Callithrix jacchus: one gene and its partners. The protein of the gene in region 2 purifies or fractionates together with the protein of the main gene of each other region. This does not show direct contact. Links are inferred from orthologs where the notes say so. Each region holds a gene or a part of one and is shown on either strand. Other genes may lie near its edges.

Region 1 (4,447 bases), on a different chromosome or scaffold from region 2:
CCAGGCACGTTGAGGGCACTCGCTGGACACCTGCCACTGAGCCACAAGCCCTGGAGGAGACCTGGGGTTTCCACTTCTTGCTGCCACCTGGGTGATCTGCTGGTGAGGGATGCAGGTGCCAGCCACCCTCGAGTGGCCTGGCGGTGAGGCTGGAAGCAGCCAAGCGGGACCCCTCGTAGCCGACAGGGGTGAGCAGGGCCCAGATATACACGAAGCCTGAGGAAGTCCCAAAACCTTTATTGTCCCCACCAGGTAGCCAATGCTTCCAGCCCACCCCAGGAGCCTCAGCCAGGTCTGTTGGGAGGATGACACCCAGGGCCACCGGTGCCACCTACAGGCAGCATGCAGGCTCCCTCCCACTCTAGCTGCCCCTTGGCCAGACCTCCTGGGAAGGCAGCAGGACGGCAGTGGCCAGTGTGGTCAGGCGGCCCCGTCTCCCTCTGAGACCTCAGCGCCTGGGCCCTTGGAGCTGCTGCCCTTGTTCCGGAAGTGGTCTCGACTCCGCTTCCTGCTACTGTGGAAGCCAACCGTCTCCACCAGTGGGAGGCCTGGCATAGGCCCACCGTGGACAGGCCCTGTCGGTGCCTCCACCTCCTGCAGGCCCCCGTGGGGGCTGCCCCACTCCTCAGCCTCTGGGCTACCGGGCCTGGCCAGATGGGCCAGCTCCACTGGGCCCTCGCCCCTATCTGGGGCACGGATCCCAAGGCTGCCCCTGCCTGGCTCTCCCACTTTACCCAGAACCCTCTTCCTCTCGTGTCTGGCCTCAACCCCTCGGGCTGGTTTGGTGAAGACGACCCTCCCTTCCCCACAGCTGGAGGGGTCCTGGTTGAAGGAGGGCACGCAGTCAGTAGGGGCAGCCACGCTCTGGGAGCCCAGGAAGGCCAGGGCGGTGGCCTGATTGCTCTGCTCGCTGACCTCGGTCACATCTTCCAGGCTGTACTTGGTCCAGCGCTCGGGGTGTGCCACGTAGTCGGGGACTGGAGGCGCCTTGGGGGAGGCTGGGCTCCAATGGGCCCTGCCCAGCCCTTCCACTGGAGGCTGGCCTGAGGGTGCCAGGGGCCGCTTGAAGCCTCCATTGTCACTTCTGCTGCTGTGGGCCACAGGGGGTGGGGCCCGCCTGGCTGCCCCCTCCAGGAAGTCAAAGATGTCACGGCTGCGCTGGGAGAAGGTGGAGCTCATGCCTCTCAAATGGAACGGCTGCACCGCAGATGGGAGGAGGAGGCCTGAGGGGGGTGAGGGCGGCTCATCGGGGCCTGAATCCTCCTCCCCAGGCAGCCCCCCTGGGGACAGCGCTTCTACTTCAGCATCGCCAGGCAAGCTGAGGTCAGAGTCCGAGTCACTGAGGGAGACCGTGTCGGAAGGCAGCGTGTCATACTCCGTCTCATGCTCCCCCTCCACGCTGGGGGACGGCTCCTCTGTCCCTGCCTCAGCCATGCGTTCCCAGGACCACGTCACACCTAGACCAAAACAGCCCAGGAGATTCGTTTCAGGAACAGTGTTAAGAATGAGTCTCCTGCAGATCAACCGCCCCTGGACAAGGAGGGTCAGCCGGCAGACCTGTCCCACACAGGGTGGAGGCCCCTCTCCCCCTCCCAGCCCTCCTCTCACCTCCCTTGGCTGCTGACACTGGAGTGTGGCTGCACAGCCAGGTGGGCGGAACCTTGATGAAGGTCCTCAGTGGCACAGGTATGGTTGTCTCAGGCCTCGGAGTGCCCCTGGCATGCGTCTGTTCAGCTGCTCGACTGCAGGTGGGAGGGGTGGGGGAGAGGACCATCCTCAGACCGGAGCGCAAATGTGTGAAAGAGGTGGGAGGCAGGACCGACCTGAGCCCGGGTTTTGGAGTCCCTGACAGGCCAGAACCCAGGGTAGGGACTTCTGAGTCGTGACTTAATTTAATCGCGTCAACCCTCTGCAGGCAGGCTTGGAACTACGAAGCGATTCTGGTAGTAAGCAGCCGCCCAGGGCTGGAACCCAGGGCCGAGATCAGGCAGGAGAGCTACTTATAAGCTGCTTGCTGTTGGGGGGTGAGCAAGAGCAGGCACCTTCCTGGTCATCGGGGAAAAGGTTTGCTCCTATCTGCTGGGAGAGCCCCGGGAGCTCCCAAGACATCTGCAGCCAAGGCCCTGGCATCGCACAAAGTGGGGTGTCAGCCCATCAATCACCTCGAGCAGCCCTCACAGGCAGAGGCAAAGCCGCGTAGCTCCTGGAGCGACCTCTAGTGGCCTTCCCCGTGTAACACTCAACACACACACCGCCTTTCCAGCGGGGCAGCCAAGCGGCCTCCCGCACCCATTTAGTGGTGGAGTGACTGGGTGCCTCGGAGCTGGCATTGCCAGTGGAGAGGACGGCCCGGCCTCACCCTTCTGCACTGCCCTCATCCATCCACTGACTCCTTGCCCGCCAGGGTGACATGTGTCCCGTGCTCCCAACAAGGATGGGGTCAGGGGTACCAGAAGGGGCTCCTAGTGCCCCCCACCAGGTCAAACAGAGGCAGCACTTCAATTCCTCTGCGGCGTGACTCTCCTCCGTGAAGAAGCCACCCCGTAAATGAAAGGGGCTACCCGGAACCCCCCACTGATGTCCGTTTTAGAGCCGGCAGGGACGGAGGCTGAAGGAAACCGTCCCTTTGCCCACATGAAGGCAGGGCCTGGCCTTTCTCCTCTCTATGCGCCAGCAAGACCTCCCCGCCAGGGAACAAACTCTCTGTGCCAAGTCGGCTCTCGGTGCGAAGTCGGGCTGGACACTCACGAGGATGCTGTGGGTCCCAAGGGCTCGGCCGCGGGGTACGGGGGTCGGTGAGCACAGCGGGGCTTCAGCTGCGCTCGGTGACCTCCCGGAGGCTCACCCGGCTCACGCGGCCCGTCGTTCCTCAACACAAACCTACCAGCTCAAGGCGGCACGGCCGTCTCCATCTTGGTCGGCTCCGCCCGCCCATGCAACGCGCTCAGCCCTCTGGGAAACCGAGTGTTCATCCGGCCGAGCGCCGCGGCTTCCACGCCCGCAAAACTACACCTCCCACAAGGCACTGGGCCGCCGCTCCCGACGCCTGTCGGGACGTGTAGTCTTGTGCGCATGCGTCCGCCTCTCTACTCCAGGACACCGCGGCCCTGGCGTCCGGCTCGGAAACAGCCCCGGAACCGCGGCATTTGTTGGCGAAACAAGACCGGAACTGACCAAGGAGAACAGGAAAAGGAGGGGCCACGCCTGCAATTCCCAGAATGCTCGAGGGCTAACCGACCGCCGCGCCGGCTTTCCGTGGTCCCAGCGCCACCTGCTGGAAACCGTGAGAACAGCGGCCGCCTCAGGCAGGAAGTGCGTCATTTCATAGGGAGGGCGAATGCCGTTCGGACACTTCCGGTCATGACCGGAAGCGGCAGCTGTAGCTCTTCCGGGGCTTCGGAGCACTGAGGCGGGGCTCCCCAGGATCCCACGGTCCCGCTCAGGGCGGACGCAAAGGCGGTCCCAGCCCGAGATGAGGACGCGGAGTCTTGACCTGTGGGCCACGGGTGAAGGGGGCGGCCCTGCTGGATCCTCTGGCTGGGCCGACGCTTTCCCACCCCTAGGGGTTGGCTGGGCCCTGGAGGCAAACTTGTGGGGCGTCGCCCTTGGGGACGCTGCCGGGCCGCCCGCGCAGCCCTGGGCCCTCAGCTCTGGCACATTGGTCCGGCCTCCGAGGGCGCTGCAGGGAAGCCAGGGCCAGGCCCTTCCAGGTCCCCGGTCCCCCGTCCTCCCGGGCGGGGTGGAGGCCGCTGAACGCTCCTCAAGCGTGGCTGGGTGGGCGGCAGCCGGAGCGGTGTGGCCTCCGCCATGCCTGGGAGCCGGCAGCCTGGCCTCGCCTGTCCACGGTGCCCGCCCTGAAAGGGAGAGCGAGGGCCCAGGTTCTCCCCCCGACAAGCCGCGTGTCCCTGGGCCACGGGCCCTGGTTGGTTGGCGCCCTGTGCCCCGCACACTGCGGGGAGCTGAGTTCCCCTCGGCGGCTACACCGCTGGGCCGTGTCAAGGCTGGAGACAACTCCCTTCCCAGGGCCTGCTGTCCTGGCATCCGCCGGGAAACAGGACTCAAGGACCTGCTGCGGCCTTTGGGATGTCATTCCCCGCCCACGGAGGACACAGCGGGAAGTGGAGAGGGGGCTCCTTGCACCGTCCTGTGCTCCCAAGCAGTGCAGCCTTGGAATTTGGGAGCAGCAGGAGAGGGCCTGCTGAGAGACTCCGTAACCCCCCAAAATGCAGGGCCGGGGGCAGTTTCCAAATTGGCTTGCAGAGAGGCTGCTGGGAGCCCTAGACATAAATTCCCAGTCACTCCTTTCCTCCAGGGGTCAATGTGCCAGCAGCTTCATCTCCCCAACTAGGGAAAAGCAGCCGGAGCGACAGCAAGCACCACCCCAGGGTCCACGGTGTGAGGGAAGATAGGAGAGCCTAGACCAAGCCCATTGGCTTGGAGGAGCTCG
Region 2 (2,715 bases):
AAAAGGATGGCACAGGACGTTGGAGAGAAGTAGGACTCCTATAGGAGCCAAGGCAGTCCGACTTCCCTAAATCAATCCCTGGTATGTTTCTAATAAAGCAGTTTTGAGGAAAATCAACAGACTCTTTTTCACTGGGGAGAACAGAGTAAGGGACTGGTGGTGGCTGGGGAGAGGACTTAGAGCAAATGGCTGGAAATCAGTGCTCTGGCCCCATACCCTAGGGCAAGGGAGATTCTTGGGGGGCGGGACAGCAATTTCCTGAGGTGCTGGGGTAGACCTCTGATCCCAGGAACCAACAACTCCCAAGCCATCTTAGGTCCCACCCTGAAGCAGCATGGAGTGGGAGCAAGGGGGCAAAAACAGGGCCTTGATACTCATGAGAACACTGAATTAAAAGGCAGGCTGCTTCCCTGGGGACTCAGGCAGGAAGGAGGCTGCAGCTGGAAGCAGAGGCAGTGAAGCCTCTTGGGAGATGACATATATTCAGAATGTAAGCACCAGGACCAGATGGGGCAGGGGAGACGGGGATGAAAGGAACAGAGCAAGACAGAGGTCAAAATGTTCTGTTCACTTGCAAACCATGGCGAAGGTCAAACTTGTAGAAAATAAAATTCCATGTAAATACCAAAGATGGGGGGGTTCCATCCCCGCTTCTCTTTCTGTGAGTCCAAGCAAACTCCTCTCTTTCCTTGGAAATGGAGCCTGGCAGAGGGCACAGAAGGAAGCAGGAGGCCAAATGCTCCTCTCTCACTGGCGCTCTGGGTTAGAGGTTGGTGAGTTGTTCAAGACACCAACAGCAGCTTCCAGACACTCTAACAACACGAAGGCCATGTCATACCAGGTCTCAGCTTCAAGTGCAGGAGTTGCAACTCACTGTAGGGAGCAGGAGCTGCCAGGAGTCCGTGCACTCACATGGGGTAATTGAGCACAACATCCTGTTTGGCGAGTTCCAGCAACATAGGATCATCGAAGAATTTGCTTATGCTCACATCTTCACTGAGGCCCTGCAGAAAAATACAAGAAAAATACAAGAAAGCCCGAGGTGGTGGCAGACTGAGTGGGGAGGCCACCCAAGACCTGCGCTCAGTGAGGCTAGTGGTAGCAGGAATGTAGGTGGTGTTGTTTCAGCAGCCCTGCTTTCAGGGTACTATCATATAGGAGGATAAAGCTCTCCTTCCACAGCAAGACTAGGGCCCAGGTCTAGTTGCCTCAAGAGTATACAGATCACATGTTTACATTGGAAAAGGGTCCTTTAGGAAAAGGGGCCAAAAGACAGACATAGAGATCCTACTTCTGAGAGTTCTGGGGGGTTGAGGGATGGTAACAGGCCCAAGGAAGACATACCTTCCTACGACGAGTTTTGATCATGAATTCCCGGGCCAGGTGAGGAGCCGGCTGTGGCTCCAAAGGGCGAATGACAATGCTCTTGTCCAGAGGATCACCAGGGACAATCTAAAAGACAAAGGAATTTCAGATGGCCCAGGCAGACTCCCCAGAAGATTTGGGCCCAGAAGCAGGATTCTTATTTATTTTACAGAAAAAAAAAAAATTTTTTTTGAGACTGAGTTTCGCTCTTGTTGCCCAGGCTGGAGTGCAATGGCATGATCTCGGCTCACTGCAACCTCTGCCTCCTGGGTTCAGGCAATTCTCCTGCCTCAGCCTCCTGAGTAGCTGGGATTACAGGCATGCACCACCATGCCCGGCTAATTTTGTATTTTTAGTAGAGACAGGGTTTCTCTGTGTTAGTCCCTATTTTATTTTTAAATTTATTATTATTATTATTTTTTGAGACGGACTCTTGCTCTGTCGCCCAGGCTAGAGTGCAGTGGTGCGATCTTGGCTCACTGCAACCTCTGCCTCCTGGGTTCAAGTGATTCTCCTGCCTCAGCCTCCTGAGTAGCTGGGATTACAGGTACCCACCACTGTGCCCAGCTAAATTTTTTTTGTATTTTTAGTAGAGACAGGGTTTTACCATGGTAGCCAGGCTAGTCTTGAACACCTGACCTCGTGATCTGCCCGCCTTGGCTTCCCAAAGTACTGGGATTACAGGTGTGAACCACTGTGCTGGTCCTCTATTTTTTTTTTTTTTTTTAAACTGAGAGACACAGATTCAAGTTGCCCTGAATATATGCTCCCCAGAAGAGGACTCTTCTCTAGGATGCTGTACATCTCACTTAGGGCTTGGAGGGGGATCAGGACAGAAGGGGATGAGGCTTGCAGAGGTGTGAGGCCAACGCAGCCAGCCAGCCTGCGATGTTTTCTCACCTGCCAATGGTGGAAGACAGACAGAGAAAAGGCTTGTCCCTGGGTGTGAGTCCGGAGATCAGTTTCAAAGCCAAAAGAGTCGATGGCTGGGATAAAGGCTTTGATGGTGTACAGAGGGGAGCCTGGAATGGGTGCATCCTGAGTCACGTGCCCCCTGCGACAAAAAAATAAAGGCCGAGTCTCTAGTTATACAAAGGCCAAAAGACAAGAAGCAATCTGCCATTGGCTGTTCCCAAATGCATCCCAGCCCAGAGTTACCATCAAAGAAAGAGTAACCAAGAATGTTATACAGAGCAGAAAAAGCTCGGGGCTCTCAGTGTAATTTCCTGTGGTCTTGAGTTGTTGTTTTTTTTTTTTATTTTTATTTTGGAGAAGCAGTTTTGCTCTTGTTGTCCAGGCTGGAGTGCAATGGCATGATCTTGGCTCACCACAACCTCTGCCTCCTGGGTT
Region 3 (3,647 bases), on a different chromosome or scaffold from region 2:
ATTCTGTGTGTGTTTGTGCGTGCACATCTGCATGTGTAGCTTCAGCCTAATCCCCAGTCCCACCCTCTCAGTTGTGTGTGTGTGTGCGTGCACATCTGTGTGTGTAGCTTCAGCCTAATCCCCAGTCCCGCCCTCTCAGTTGTGTGTGTGTGCGTGCACATCTGTGTGTGTAGCTTCAGCCTAATCCCCAGTCCCACCCTCTCAGTTGTGTGTGTGTGTGCGTGCACATCTGTGTGTGTAGCTTCAGCCTAATCCCCAGTCCCGCCCTCTCAGTTATGTGTGTGTGTGTGTGCACATCTGTGTGTGTAGCTTCAGCCTAATCCCCAGTCCCACCCTCTCAGTTGTGTGTGTGTGTGTGTGCACATCTGCATGTGTAGCTTCAGCCTAATCCCCAGTCCCACCCTCTCAGTTGTGTGTGTGTGTGTACACATCTGCATGTGTAGCTTCAGCCTAATCCCCAGTCCCGCCCTCTCAGTTGTGTGTGTGTGTGTACACATCTGCGTGTGTAGCTTCAGCCTAATCCCCAGTCCCGCCCTCTCAGTTCTGTGTGTGTGTGTGTGTGCACATCTGCGTGTGTAGCTTCAGCCTAATCCCCAGTCCCGCCCTCTCAGTTATGTGTGTGTGTGTGTGCACATCTGCATGTGTAGCTTCAGCCTAATCCCCAGTCCCGCCCTCAGTTGTGTGTGTGTGTGTGTGCACATCTGCATGTGTAGCTTCAGCCTAATCCCCAGTCCCGCCCTCTCAGTTGTGTGTGTGTGTGCGTGCACATCTGTGTGTGTAGCTTCAGCCTAATCCCCAGTCCCGCCCTCTCAGTTATGTGTGTGTGTGTGTGCACATCTGCATGTGTAGCTTCAGCCTAATCCCCAGTCCCGCCCTCAGTTGTGTGTGTGTGTGTGTGCACATCTGCATGTGTAGCTTCAGCCTAATCCCCAGTCCCGCCCTCTCAGTTGTGTGTGTGTGTGCGTGCACATCTGCATGTGTAGCTTCAGCCTAATCCCCAGTCCCGCCCTCTCAGTTCTGTGTGTGTTTGTGCCTGTATGCACATCTGCGTGTGTAGCTTCGGCCTAATCCGCAGTCCCCCTAGCCCGGGCCCAGTCCTCCCTCGCAGCGGACATACCCCTGAGTGGTGGAGGCAGTGACACTGACGACCATGATGGTGGCATTGGTGAGGATCTGCTGCAGGTTCTCATTGTTCTTGCACTTGTCCAGGCTGTTGCCCAGCTCCTGGGGGCGAGCAGAGAGACAGGGAGGCTTGGGCTCAGGAGGGCTGGAGAACCTCTTGCTCAGCACCTATTCAGGTCTTGTCTTGGGGACACTGGGAAAGTCAGGGTGTCTACACTGAGGGTCACTGCACTGGGGGCCTCTCCTGCCTCTGCCACCCGAAGCATCCACACTCTCTGCTCTGCTTTGGCTGACCTGGAAATGGAGCCTGGGCACAGTGGCGTCTGGGAGACCGAGGCCTCACAAGCCTCTGGCCCATGACAAGTGGGAGCACTGATCCGGTGGCCTCACTTCCCTGCAGGGGCTTTCCCCACCACTGTCCAGTGGGTAACCCCCAACATGGGTACCAAGGAAGGAGAGCTGTGCAAACCCCAGGCACAATTAGTGCCTGAACAATGTCTTAGTTTATAGTGTTATTATTCAGCTATTTCCTTTATATAATCCTTTATACGTAATCGTGTATGAGTTTACAGTCAGAACAATTAGTGCCTGAAGTATAACTTACTGCTTACCTATATCTAGCATATAAAATCATACTTACTACTTATGTCTAGCATACTTAGTTCCTTATGATCTTTTTATGTAGTCATGTAAATATTATAGTCTATATAGCCATATATATATATATATTCTCTATAATCACGTAGATATTGTAGTCGGAGCTGTACCAACACATTTAGTGATGGTTTATATAATATTTCTATATAACCATATAGTAGTTTGTAGTAGGAGGAATGCCTAGAGCAGTCACAGAACAGAAGCAGTACATGGGAAAACAGCCAGACGAGGACACGAACCAAAGACCCAGTGGTGGCGTCCCTGCCTGAAAGGGCGTATGCTGTGTGGCAGGCTTGGAGCAAGAGCCTCTCCTCCTGAAAAAGGAGTGGTAGTACCTTGCATCCAGTTCCTGTGGAAAGTAGGCCTCAGGCCTGAGATCCCACAAATAACCGAGGGAGAAGAACCCCTCGGGTGTGACTGGGTCACGGCAGCTGTACACCCTGTCAGCCTGTCAGCTCAAATCATCCTCCCACAAAATATCTTCAAGAAGAGCAGAAGTCTGTCAGCTCCCACTGCATTGGCTTACAGTATCCTTCTATTAGAAATCCTCTGAAGTCTCCAGCCCCCAGATAAGAAGTGTTGCATCTGACACCTGTTGCACACAGTCCACCTCCTTGCCTCGGTGACCTAATGGGAGTGGACCCCTTTTCTGTACATGACCCTCTACTACTGCGCGCGGCCCACCTCTCTGACTAGGTGGCCTTATGGGGTGGCCCCCTCGCTTGATTATGTATGCCTTATCATTAAACCTATAGTGACCTCACTCACGACCCTTCTCCCTGCCCTGTACCTAATACAGACGCTTCTGGGCGTTCGGGGCCTCACCTGTCTCCGCTCATAAGTGGCGTGGCCCCTGAGCCCAGCTGTCTTTTCCAGTCTTTCTGTGTCCTGTCTCTACTTCTCGGATCCTCCACACAGCTGTAGGGGACGCCCCACGACTCCTTAGGGCTGTGGCTTTACACCATCCTAATCTTTCCCTGGACATGTGTGGGGACCTCCTCCTCTCCCTGCCTCACGTGCACCTGCCCCTCTTTCCCTAAACCCTTCCTTGGATCTCTCCTAAGACCCAGAGGCCCAACGCGATCCGACCTCTTCCACTTCCCTCCTTCCCCACCTCACTCCCTCCCAGCTTGTTCCCTCTCAGGCTCTCTGCACTTAAACGTCTCTCTCCCCCAAATCTCCGCGTGCCTGTCCCATGTCAACCTTCGGATCTCAACTCCAATGCTGCCGGCTCTAACCACAGTGGGAGCAGCACGGGTCAGGCCAGAGGGGAAGCCCTCTTGGGAGACCGGGGCAGGAGGGGAGCCCTGAGGAAGTCCCGTCCAGCTTCTGTCCCTCCCACGCTGGGCAGAGCAGGCCGCTGAGCCACCGTCCACTCCTTCCATGATCTCCAGACCCCGAGGCCTCTGGGAGCAGGTTCAAGAGTGAGCCCCACCTGCCCCTTCACACCGGCAGAAGTCGGGCAAGAAGCCACAGTTCTTCCCAAGCACCCCGCCTTCTTGGTGCTCACCTTGACCGTGCGGATGTAATCCAGTGCATTGGGGACCAAGGACTCCAGTTCAGGGAATCTCTTCGAGTACTTATCCCGGATGAACTTATGGATGATGTCTAGGGTGGACAGGACAGGCGGTCTTGGGTAAGACAGGAGGTAGAGTCTGCTGGTTGCCCTAACACCCATTTCCCCTTCTTCCTTTACGTATGACCACGGGAATTTGTTCTGCTCTGTAAGATGTGAGCTGAGCTGTGGTGACACGTTCTTAAGAATAAGAAGCGCCTTGCTGGTGGAAATGCAGAGGTGATGGCTGGAGGTGGGACAGCCACCTTGCACCGTGAACCAGTGGCTGAACAACAAGATGGAAAGAGCTGGG

Evidence for each region. Proteins that work in one complex are often made in the same cells at the same time.
Region 1: the proteins of EFTUD2 (region 2) and TSSC4 purify together in Homo sapiens (affinity purification with mass spectrometry; 4 studies listed by BioGRID and IntAct, counting the BioPlex papers as one, with this or other methods). This does not show direct contact. The link is inferred for Callithrix jacchus from reciprocal best matches to the Homo sapiens genes EFTUD2 and TSSC4.
Region 3: the proteins of EFTUD2 (region 2) and PRPF31 purify together in Homo sapiens (affinity purification with mass spectrometry; 4 studies listed by BioGRID and IntAct, with this or other methods). This does not show direct contact. The link is inferred for Callithrix jacchus from reciprocal best matches to the Homo sapiens genes EFTUD2 and PRPF31.

Annotation. Positions count from the first base shown.
Region 1 is NC_133511.1:129,467,823-129,472,269, forward strand, and holds TSSC4 (U5 small nuclear ribonucleoprotein TSSC4), read right to left. Parts: upstream 2,934-4,447; 5' UTR 2,749-2,933; exon of another isoform or gene 1,743-2,748; 5' UTR 1,609-1,742; exon of another isoform or gene 1,458-1,608; 5' UTR 1,435-1,457; coding exon 421-1,434; 3' UTR 222-420; downstream 1-221. UniProt on the Homo sapiens protein: Protein associated with the U5 snRNP, during its maturation and its post-splicing recycling and which is required for spliceosomal tri-snRNP complex assembly in the nucleus.
Region 2 is NC_133506.1:85,259,571-85,262,285, forward strand, and holds the end of EFTUD2 (116 kDa U5 small nuclear ribonucleoprotein component), read right to left. Parts: intron 2,420-2,715; coding exon 2,266-2,419; intron 1,453-2,265; coding exon 1,345-1,452; intron 1,005-1,344; coding exon 909-1,004; 3' UTR 550-908; downstream 1-549. Other genes in the region: HIGD1B (HIG1 domain family member 1B), read left to right, coding at 1-33. UniProt on the Homo sapiens protein: Required for pre-mRNA splicing as component of the spliceosome, including pre-catalytic, catalytic and post-catalytic spliceosomal complexes. Component of the U5 snRNP and the U4/U6-U5 tri-snRNP complex, a building block of the spliceosome.
Region 3 is NC_133523.1:47,301,222-47,304,868, reverse strand, and holds part of PRPF31 (U4/U6 small nuclear ribonucleoprotein Prp31), read right to left. Parts: intron 3,388-3,647; coding exon 3,290-3,387; intron 1,225-3,289; coding exon 1,118-1,224; intron 1-1,117. UniProt on the Homo sapiens protein: Involved in pre-mRNA splicing as component of the spliceosome. Required for the assembly of the U4/U5/U6 tri-snRNP complex, one of the building blocks of the spliceosome.